Canis lupus familiaris: one gene and its partners. The protein of the gene in region 2 purifies or fractionates together with the protein of the main gene of each other region. This does not show direct contact. Links are inferred from orthologs where the notes say so. Each region holds a gene or a part of one and is shown on either strand. Other genes may lie near its edges.

What was found. The genes of interacting proteins can lie anywhere in the genome.
Region 1: the proteins of PRKAG3 (region 2) and PIP4P2 purify together in Homo sapiens (affinity purification with mass spectrometry; 3 studies listed by BioGRID and IntAct, with this or other methods). This does not show direct contact. The link is inferred for Canis lupus familiaris from reciprocal best matches to the Homo sapiens genes PRKAG3 and PIP4P2.
Region 3: the proteins of PRKAG3 (region 2) and PFDN6 purify together in Homo sapiens (affinity purification with mass spectrometry; 3 studies listed by BioGRID and IntAct, with this or other methods). This does not show direct contact. The link is inferred for Canis lupus familiaris from reciprocal best matches to the Homo sapiens genes PRKAG3 and PFDN6.

Annotation. Positions count from the first base shown.
Region 1 is NC_049250.1:37,070,971-37,074,657, reverse strand, and holds the start of PIP4P2 (type 2 phosphatidylinositol 4,5-bisphosphate 4-phosphatase), read left to right. Parts: upstream 1-879; 5' UTR 880-930; coding exon 931-1,036; intron 1,037-3,687. UniProt on the Homo sapiens protein: Catalyzes the hydrolysis of phosphatidylinositol-4,5-bisphosphate (PtdIns-4,5-P2) to phosphatidylinositol-4-phosphate (PtdIns-4-P).
Region 2 is NC_049258.1:25,287,694-25,291,439, forward strand, and holds the start of PRKAG3 (5'-AMP-activated protein kinase subunit gamma-3), read right to left. Parts: upstream 2,878-3,746; 5' UTR 2,851-2,877; coding exon 2,748-2,850; coding exon of another isoform or gene 2,737-2,747; intron 2,553-2,736; exon of another isoform or gene 2,470-2,552; coding exon 2,342-2,469; intron 2,222-2,341; exon of another isoform or gene 2,131-2,221; coding exon of another isoform or gene 2,110-2,130; intron 1,728-2,109; coding exon 1,688-1,727; intron 1,201-1,687; exon of another isoform or gene 1,182-1,200; coding exon 1,026-1,181; intron 679-1,025; coding exon 275-678; intron 1-274. UniProt on the Homo sapiens protein: AMP/ATP-binding subunit of AMP-activated protein kinase (AMPK), an energy sensor protein kinase that plays a key role in regulating cellular energy metabolism.
Region 3 is NC_049233.1:2,883,205-2,886,207, reverse strand, and holds PFDN6 (prefoldin subunit 6), read right to left. Parts: upstream 1,806-3,003; 5' UTR 1,764-1,805; intron 1,619-1,763; 5' UTR 1,535-1,618; coding exon 1,471-1,534; intron 1,221-1,470; coding exon 1,150-1,220; intron 1,071-1,149; coding exon 946-1,070; intron 740-945; coding exon 610-739; 3' UTR 509-609; downstream 1-508. Other genes in the region: WDR46 (WD repeat-containing protein 46), read left to right, coding at 2,206-2,274, 2,376-2,588, 2,697-2,777, 2,922-3,003. UniProt on the Homo sapiens protein: Binds specifically to cytosolic chaperonin (c-CPN) and transfers target proteins to it. Binds to nascent polypeptide chain and promotes folding in an environment in which there are many competing pathways for nonnative proteins.

The sequences.
Region 1 (3,687 bases), on a different chromosome or scaffold from region 2:
GCCTCCTCTCCGTACCCCTCCCGCTCCTCCCCCCGCGGCCCAGCCTCCCCGCGGCCCAGCCTCCTGCTCCCTCCGGCCCCGCCTCCTCCCCGCCCTCCCCGCTGCCCAGCCTCCTCCTCCTCCTCCCCGGCCCAGCCCCCTCCACGCCCTCCCCGCGGCCCAGCCTCCTGCTCCCTCCGGCCCCGCCTCCTCCCCGCCCTCCCCGCTGCCCAGCCTCCTCCTCCTCCTCCCCGGCCCCGCCCCCTCCACGCCCTCCCCGCGGCCCAGCCTCCTCCTCCTCCTCCTCCTCCCGGCCCAGCCCCCTCCACGCCCTCCCCGCGGCCCAGCCTCCTCCTCCTCCTCCTCCTCCTCCCGCGGCCCAGCCTCCTTCTCCGCCTCCTCCCCGCCCCCTCCCGCTCCTCCCCCCGCGGCCCCGCCTCCCGCTCCTCCTCCTCCCCCGCCTCCTCCCCCCTCCTCCCCGCCCCCTCCCGCTCCTCCCCCCGCGGCCCCGCCTCCCGCTCCTCCTCCTCCCCCGCCTCCTCCCCCTCCTCCCCGCCCCCCTCCCGCTCCTCCCCCCGCGGCCCAGCCTCCCGCTCCTCCTCCTCCCCCGCCTCCTCCCCCTCCTCCCCCCCCCCCCCCCGCTCCTCCCCCCGCGGCCCAGCCTCCCCGCGGCCCCGCCTCCCGCTCCTCCTCCTCCCCCGCCTCCTCCCCCTCCTCCCCGCCCCCCTCCCGCTCCTCCCCCCGCGGCCCAGCCTCCCCGCGGCCCCGCCTCCTGCTCCTCCTCCTCCCCCGCCTCCTCCCCCTCCTCCCCGCCCCCCTCCCGCTCCTCCCCCCGCGGCCCCGCCTCCCGCTCCTCCTCCTCCCCCGCCTCCTCCCCCTCCTCCCCGCCCCCCTCCCGCTCCTCCCCCCGCGGCCCAGCCTCCCCGCGGCCCCGCCGCCGCTGCGGCAGTCATGGCTGCGGACGGGGTGGACGAGCGCTCGCCTCTGCTGTCAGCATCGCCGCCGGGAACCGTCACCCCCACGGCCCCGCCGTACTTGCAGGAGAGCAGCCCCAGAGGTGAGGCGGGCGCGGGCCTCCCGCTCGCTGCGCCGCGGCCGAGGAGGCAGGCCCCGGGGCGCTGCAGCTGGGGCGCGGCGGGCGGGTCGGCGGGCCCGGGAGCGGGGGCTGCAGACTGCGCCTGGCGCGGGCCCGGGTCCTTGAGCGCAGCCCCCAGGAGGGAGGGCGGGGTGCGGGCGCGTGCCCCGCGCCCTTCTCACGGCGGCTGTGCGTGTGCGTGTGCGTGTGCGTGTGCGAGTGCGAGTGCGAGTGCGTGTTTCAGCACTTCTTGCCCGCGGGCCGGGCGTGACAGGAATCGCCCCGGCGCAGCCCCCAGGCGCCGCTGGAGGAGGTGCACAGCCTTCGCGGCCATTCAGCCTTCCCTGCTGAGAAGCCCCTAGCACTGCTCACCTTGGGATCTGCCCTTGAAAGGGCTTAGCTTGAAAAATGTGCAGAGCGTGCCCTCGCCCCCCCCCCCCCCCCGGGCTCTGTTCAGTCAGGGAATTGTCTTACCAAGAGGAATAGCGGTAATCGATATTCCTAATATGCCTGAAATTCCTGCCTTTCCTTATTACTCCCCTTTGTAAGGAGTGTGCGTTAGCCTTGCTGGCCGATGAGGAAGCATAGGAAGGAAGATGGGATATTTCTGATGCATCTGGGTGAGGTTGAAATGAACTTACTTCTGAAAGTAACCCCGGCTAACCCTGCACGCATTTCTATTTATTTCACTTCTCAAGATGGAATCAAAAAAGATTTGATTAGCAGTGGGATCTGAAGAAAGAAGTGTATACGTGTGTGTGAGTGTGTGTGTGTGTGGGGGGGGGGTGTTTAGCAAACTATTAAAAGATCTATCTTTGTTCTAAGCCTTTTAGTGGCTTTCTATAGTAGAAAGAAGGTGGAGTCACGATTTATTGAAAAGGGAAGGCAAGACTTGAAAACCACTTAGAGTTATGAAAAGAATGGCCAAATATGGCACTTGCAAATGTAGCTTAAGTGCATCTCTCCCTTTCCAGCCGAATATGAGAGGAGTTTCAGAAATCCCAAGGAGACAAAATGTTAGTGCTTTCGAAAACGTAGGCAGATCATGTTTCTTGTAACACAACTTCTTGTAAGTTCAAGTCTGGAATTGGAGCAGTTGTAGAGCAAGTTGGACTTGTTTAGTATTTAAAATTTCCACTTAATGGTAACATTGTCCCCAACTTGAAGAGGAACAATCTAGGTCTTAGTCAACACCTTACAAGAAGCAGGACAAAGGAAAAAGATGTTTTGCTGTGAATAATGGAGTGTGATCAATCAGTTGAGAAATAAGGTGCAAAATGGGACAGAGACTTATCTACAGGAAAAACCCCAAGTCATGTTTGTATTAAAGGTGTATCAGAGGACACCAGCTGGAGGAATTTCCTTTAATGCACAAATTTGATATTAATAAAAAATCAAAATCGGGTCGGTCTAGGATAAGTTTAAACATTTATAAATGAATGTTGCAACTTCCCCAAGTGACCCTTTAGGGCAAAATATTTGCAGTTTATTAAAAGACAAGGTTTGGATTTAAACAACTGTCCTATGACAGATTTTCATGTCCTCTGTCTTACATCTTTGTTTTTGTATTTTTAGTCATAGTGGCTAAATTATTCCACAAATGTGTTCATGCTCATGGACCTGCTTATAGATTTCTTTATCATTTGCCACATATTTGTCTAATCTGGTAAGACCAGATTAACTGCACAATCAGGTACAAATCACAGTTCAGCCACTGAAGAAATTCAAAATATTAAAACGCAAAATGCCATGGGGTAAATGTTAAAGATCTTACTGGCTTTATTTAATGATTCGTGATTCTAGCAGCATCCCATCTAGCAGATAGAAAGGAGTTTCAAAAAGCTGTACCAAATGAAAGCCTTCCATGGGCAGAAGGGAGTGGGAAAAAGGCAAAAAGTGGATGGGTTGTGGCAAGATCACTTTCATTTAGGGGATGGGGGTGGTCTGTCAGGCAGATGACCTCACTAGTGCTAATAAGGTAGTTCTTGACGGACGTTCCAAGATTCCATTTCTGGGTGAGGCCAAAAGTGTAATTAAGGCTGTATTTGGTGATGTGGAGCTTAGCATAAGTGACTCCATTTTGAGCCTGTTGTCTTGTTTTTAACAACTGATTTAGCAAAAAGCCATTTCGGCCTTATGATAGAGTACAGTTGTGTTTTTTTTCCTTAAACTGGTAAATAAGACAGGTTAGCTAATTAGAAATGCTAATTTCATGTGGCATAGTACCTAGGAAGCAAGAAGCATAAATTAGAAGTAAAGACATTTTATGTTATTGGCATTTATGTCAGAATATCTTTTCTTAAATAACAAATAAGCATCTTCATAAATGTTTTGAGTGATACACAGATCTGATTCTAGGAGACCTGTGGTATTTACTCTTTCATTGATTCATTGGGCAGTATGGTGTGCCAGAGTCGGCTCTAGGTCAACAAAACTGACCAAACATGCCCCCTCTTGAAACCCACATCGAAATGAAAAAAAAGAATAAACACGGGGCTGAATTATTTGTATTGTAAGAAACTGTTCCTAGACCAGATGTTTTCAGTAGTTGACAGGAATTAAAGGTTGGGATTCAAAAGACTGGAATAGAATGTACTTTTTGATAATGAACTTTGGTTTATGATACCATTTGT
Region 2 (3,746 bases):
AAGAGTTGCATGCCCTTCCAACTAAACTAGCCAGGCGCACCCCCATCCTTATTTTAGAGATGAGAGAGGTATAGTGACTAACCCAAGATCCTATAGATACTAAATGGCAGAGCTAGGATGACAGGGAGAGAAGCCCTCCCCAGCACTGGTCTCCATGGTGCTAGGAAGGAGTTCTGGAAGGGGACTTGCAGGGTGCCCAGCGGGGTGTCCTGGAGGGTGTGAGTGGTGGCTGCAGCCCCGTGAGGATGGAGGTGGGGCAGCACCATGGCCTCACCTCCAGCGTGATGTCGAAGATGACCAGCTTGGAGCTGGTTGCCATGGCATCGTAGCAGGTGTGCTCCTGCATGAAGTGCATGTAGACTTGGGCCCCCGGCTTCTGCAGCTCGTCGTCCCAGCCCGGCCTGGGTAACAGGGCCCGCGGGGAGGGGCACAGGGTAGGCCTCTCTTCCACCAGGCCGAGCTCGTACCCCCAGTCTGCTGTGACTGGGAACTCTATATCCAGCTCCAGATCATCTGGACTGGAGCCTACGGCTGAGGCTGCATGGTTCAGGGGGGAGATGTCCCACTCTGTCGGTGGGGTGCCCACCCTGGCCAGGGGGGCAGCTTGCAACAAGTGTGTGGCCTTGGGGAATGTGGCCTCCAGCCCGGTGCACTCAGCAGGCGGCCTGGCCTGGGGATCTGTTGGAGGGGAGAGGACAATAAGTCCATCTTCCAGAGTGCTTTCTCATCTGCTGGCTCGGGTCATCCTCACAGCAGGCTTGGGAAGCCTGGATGCTATGGCCCCATTTTGCAGGTGAGAACGCTGAGTCTCAGAGCCACACAAGATAGTGGCTCTGTCCTGAGTTGGCCATGCCAGGCCTCTGGCTCTGCCGTGCAGTTGACGTTTCCCATATGGACAGACTGGGGCTACAAGATGAGGCTTGGGTCCATCTCTATGAAGGGATCAGAGCAGAGCCCTGGGTCCCAGGCTCTGGGATGTCCCACTGCCCCCGCTCCCAACTCTCCGGAACTGGCCTTGGCCTCACCTTCCTCCAGACCCTGCAGCTCCCCTTCCTTCACCACCTCCTGCCTCGTCCATCTCGAGGACTTGGCCCCCTGTTTCCCATGGCTTCTTTCTGAGCCAGTGGTCATGGCTGGTGATGGCCATGAAGTGCTCTCTCCTTGTTCTAGGAAGCTCATCTCTGGAAGGGGGAATGGGGCCTGTTTGGTTAATAGGGAGTAACACAACGAAATCAATGAAAATGTCATTAATAATAACATTTAATATTTGCAAGCTTCCCAAGAGTTTTTCTCCTCCATATTTCTCACTCCTAGCAATCTTATAAGGGAGACATTATCATCATTCTTATTTTATGAAAAAGAGACCTGAGATCAGAGATGTTAAGCGGTTTGCCACAATTCACACAGTGAGTAAGTGATAAAGTCAGAACCAGGGTCAGAGTCTTCAGACTCTATATCCCTCCCCTCCCCGCCTCCCCCTCCTCCCCGCACCCCCGCAACTTCTTCTGATAGAAAAGAGTGATGAAGGGAAAAGGAAAAGACACAGGAGCAAAAAAAGGAAAAGGAGGGAGAGAGAGACAAAAGATGGGCTATCAGAGCCAAGGAGATGACGGTCCCAAAGAGGGGGGACAAAGGAAGTGGGAGAAGAGGCACTTCCTTCCCCTGAGGAGGAAGCAGCTGCACTTACCTTGATGCTCGGGTCCCCCTAGGCTGCTCCAGGATGGGTTCTGTGGGGAGGAGAATGGTCTGGAGGGGTGGGGGAAGTGCCCTACCTTCCCGAACCACAGGTAGGTCCTCTCCCCGGCAGGCCTGCGTGTGCATGCACCCACCCCCGCAAGCACCCCCCCTTACACAAACACTTATACACTCAGGAAAACACACATCCAACCATTCCCAGACACACACAGGACCACATAGGTTGCTTACACGAAGAATACACGTACACACAGACACCCACATGCTCACACACACACACACACACACACACACACACAGAAGATCCAGGCCGCACATGCACACACACACACTCACACACATTCACACAGTGTGCTGTGCTCGCAATCCCCTGGCCTCGGCTGCCCCAGCTCCCGTCCCCGGGGACCCCTATACCCGGCGCAGTGTGTGCTCCATGCGGCCAACCCGGACCAACGGAGAGCAAGTGCGCAACACTGGCCGGGTGGCACTATTCTGGGCCCGGCCCTTGGCACCCTGCCCTCCCCGGATCGGTTTCTCTCTGATTGGGTGTCAGGCAGCGGGAGGGAGGGCTCTGCAGGCTCAGCTGCTCCCACCCAGAGCCTGGGGCAGGGTGGGGAGGGAAGGGGGGCGCCTGGAATCTTGAGACCTGGCCTTGGGCTCCCTCCTGGGTCTTCAAGGACGAGCTTGAAGGGCTTTGCCATGGGGGAGGTGGCTTGGAGCACTGTAGGGGCACCGGTGGGAGGTGGGCTTTCAGAGTCCTGGGCTCCTGCTCATCTTTATCAGGTGCCAAAGGAGGGGAAATGGAGGCGAGTTGAGCTCAACTTTCTTCCTTGTACAAACTTCAGTCGTAGGTGGTGCTGGAGTCAGAGGGGGCAAGTGGGAGCCAGCTGGGAGGCTAGAGGCTGAGGGGTTTGTGGGTGGTCCCAGAAAAACGGCCACTGTGTGTCCAGATGTCCCCATTCGAATCCCAGGAGCCCATCCCTTCCTCTGCTGGAAGTTGGGGTGGGATGAGTTAGGAAGGTGGGGAGCTAGGAGACTCACCATGAACTCACCATGAAGGTGTGTGGTGGGCTTGAGGGCCCAGGATGAGAGCCATCTGTTTCTACCAGTGATCTGGAGGTGGGTCCCAGGGTGTGGGAGCCCCGGTCCCAACATCCTCTCTGCGTGCTGTTCCTACATATCCTGGTGCCAACAGGATCCCAGCCCAGCTCTGGTGGCTGCCCACCCCCCTTCCTTGGCATTCCTGGGGCCTGAGTCAGTATCCAAATCGGGAATGCTGACCCAGCTGCTCTAGCTCCCCTCTCTCTGCCCCCCCCTTCCTCCTTCCAGCCTCTCCCATCCCAGTCTCTGACCCTGGAGTGGACACTCGGTAATGAATTACTGGATTTCTTGCTGAATGTACGGAACATATTTCTAATCACCTCGCAAGGCCCCTGTACTGCCTACAGGGAGGAGGAGGAGAACAGATCAGGGACTTGGCCCTTCCCCGTGTGTGTCTTGAGTAGCACCGGGGGTGGGTGCAGCTCTCCTGCAGGATTCCTGTGGCCTGCTCCCGTCTCGTCCCAGATGGTGGAATGTCCAAGGCACAGCCGATGGGACACCTTGGCTGGTGGAAGCGTCAAGTGGATCATCCTTGGACAGGCCCATCTGCTATGCGATGGACCTAGAAAGCCTCTACGCACCTTAAGCTCTGGGCCCACCTTCACAACCGAGCCAGATAGAGAACAGTTGACACTATTGCCTTCTCCATCTTCGCCCTGGGGCCTGTTCCACCTCCAGGGCCAGTGGGAGGGGTTCTTCTCTAAGAAAGCCTTCCCCAATAGCATCACTTCCACTGCACTAGTCTCCTTCTAGTGCAGGCTCAAGGTACATAGAGTTGGCATTTAGATGACTATGCACATGTGAACGTCCTCTATCTCCAAGGAAACAGTGGCCACCTTGATGACCAAAGTGTGTTGGCTGGATGTGACAGAAACCCTGTTTGACGGTCAGATGGACCTGATTAAAATTCATGTTCTGCCGTTTGTTTGCCATAAGACCTTAAAAAGCAT
Region 3 (3,003 bases), on a different chromosome or scaffold from region 2:
ACAATCCGTGGTTGGACATTTGTAAGAAACAATTTTAGGACAAAGAAATGGAAGAATGACTTTGTGGATAACGTATAAACTTGAGGGCCTTACAACATCACAAAGTGTTCCATGCTGGGATTTTAAATCAGCCTAAACTTCATTCAAACAAATTCTAGAATGAGACTAAGATGCTGGGGCTTTCTGGAGGATGACAAGAAAGCATAGCAAGAGGGTCACCACATTTCACCCTGGGGTCTCAGTTTAGATTACCGTGAGCTCTGTAGTTAAACTGGCCTTCCCAATGATCATTGCGTGGTAAATGCTCTTCTCATGTTTCCTAAGGGGCATGCCAACCAAGGCAAGCGTAGTGTATATAGGCAAGTAGGTGTGAGACGTTTCAGATTTTAGTCTCAGTGAAAAAAGGAGGATTACTCTGTGGCAATTCCAGTCACGAGAATTGGGACCGAACAGAGTAATGCAGGTGGCATATATATAAAGTTGAAGGGGCCCAAGGAAGAGACCATCATGACAGGAAGTGGCTGGTCAGAAAACAGCCAGGGGTTTTCACATTTTATTAGCTACAGCATAGACCCTTGAGCTGCCTCATTCCCTCCCCCCCCCATGGGGTCAGGCCTTCCCAGAAGCCCCTGCCTTGGCTGCCTGGGCCCTCTGGAACTCCTGCTGCAGCTGAGCCAGGGTCTCCCTCTGTTGCTCTGACTGCCGCTCAAGGTCCCGGAGCTGGGATTCGTATCGCTTACTGAAGAGAGGCAAGAGAGACAAGCAAATGAGAAATTGATGGGATTTACTCTTGAGGGTGCTGAAGGGTTGGACTCTCCTGGACTCCCCGTGGAGGGTTTGAGGAAGCAGATCAGACAGGGCTACCCTGGAACTACTCCAACGGCTCCTCGACATTCTACGCTGGGGGCGTCCGGTGCCTTGCAGGGTGTCAGAACAAAGACTCACATTTCAGCTGTGATATAGTCCAGCCTCTTCCCCACTGTGGCACGAGCCTCTCCCAGCTCCTGTTTGACCAGCACAGGACCCAGAAGTTTAAAGACCACGTTGGATCCATCTAGCAGGGCCAGCTCCTGATGGAGGGATGGGACATACAAGATCAGAATCACTTCCAGGTCAGGTCCCTTCTGGCCCGGCATATCCCTCTCTCACCTCCTTCACGATATTATTTTCTGTTAGCTGCGCCTCAAGCTTCTGTCTCCCCGACATGGATTTACTCAAGTCTGGGGGTTAGGAAGAAAGGGTTGATTAAACACATCACATGTGCCGCCTAACCCCAATCCTGGTGAGAAGAAAACGGAGCTGAGGAAGTAGACAAGGAGGCGGCAACAGGTCAGTGGGTGGGGACGAGCTCCGAGATGGGGAAGGAGCTGCACGCGGGGCCTCTAGTGGGGCACAACATATTATCTTGGTTTGGCTTTGGGCTGTAAGTGAAGGGTCTGGGGCGAGGCCGCGCCGACGCTGCTCCCTTACCCTTCTGTAGCTGCTGATATTTCTCCACTTCTCCCTGTAGCTTCTTCTGGATTAGCTCAGCCATGGCGGGGACGAAGGCCCGCGGGGAGTGGGAGCGGGCGCTGGGTCTCACTCTGGGAGGTACCTAAACTCCCCTTTCTGGCCCGGCCTGCGGAAAGGACAGCACTCTTGCGAGGCAGCCTCCCAGGGCACCACAGCCTCTCCTCGTCCCAGAGAGCCCTCCACGCAGGCCCCAGGAGGTGGCGGGCGCAGCAAGACCCCAAGCCCCTCAACCGTAACCCAGCCATACTCACGTTCTCGCTTCACTATTACTAAACCTGGAAGTAAACAAAGAATGCTGGGAAAAGAAGGCGCCGGAAGCTGTCTTCTGACGCATGCCGGGAACTGTAGTTTTGGCACGTTTAGTGAACGGTGTTCCCCCAGAAAACTGGACCCGGGAGGTTTTAGGCAAGACAGGGAAACGGAGCTGGAAAAAAAAACTGCACCGTTACTTTGTCCCCAGCCCCAGACTACCTTTCTTTCATTACTCGGGCATAAGCGGCTGCTCGGGATTGCGGAGCCAAGACCTGCCCCGCCCCTCGAGAGAGAGTGGGCCCTCATTCAAGATGGCGCTCAGACGGCTTCAGACCTGGTAGGCACTGATTGGACGAGGGCCGGCGGGCTTCCGGGAGTTTCCGAGCCGTCTGTGGACAGCTGAGAGAAGTTTGCACGTGGGTCGTCGTTCCGGTGGGCTAGATGGAAACAGCCTCCAAACCCGGCAGAGATGTCCAGCCCAAGAAGGCCAGACTTCAGACCAAGAAGAAGGTAGAGACCTCGCTAGGGTGGAAGGGAAATTTTTAGCTGCGGGGTCCCGGGGGTGGGGGGGCGAGGGCTATGGAGTGTTAGAGCTTGTGATCTGCCCGTAGAAACCGCGGAGGTACTGGGAGAAGGAAGCCACTCTGACCGCTGCCGGAGCCTCTCCAGGGCCCCCTCGTAACAAGAAAAGGAATCGAGAGCTCCGCCCCCAGAGGCCAAAGAACATTAACCTCCCAAAAAAGTCTCGGATCCCCGGGAAGCCTCAGTTCCCGAAGAAACCTCGAGAACAGAGAAATCTTGAGCCTCAGAGAAATTTGTCCGGGGTGAGCCTGGGACCTGATAAGGTGGTGGGGCAAGTTGCCTTGTACTTTGCAGGTGCGATGGTTGGGGTCAACCCTAACCTGTCTGCTAATTGCTTCCTCCTTCCCCAGGCCCAGGATCCATTTCCAGGCCCTGCTCCCATCCCTGAGGAAGTGGCTCGCAAGTTCCGTCGCATTGACAAATCCAAAAAGGTGAGGACCAGCTGGGAGTGAGGAGGGATTGCAGCTTGGGAGAGCATATGAGTGAGTTGGATGAAGAGGAACTGTGTGACTCTCCTGGCACCCCACATAACACCTGGTTCTTTTTTCATTACTCTCCTGCCAACGCTGGTATAGCTGCCACATTCGAAGTCGAAAACACGAAGCCGACTAGAGGTGGCTGAAGCTGAGGAAGAGGAAATAAGTATTAAAGCTGCTC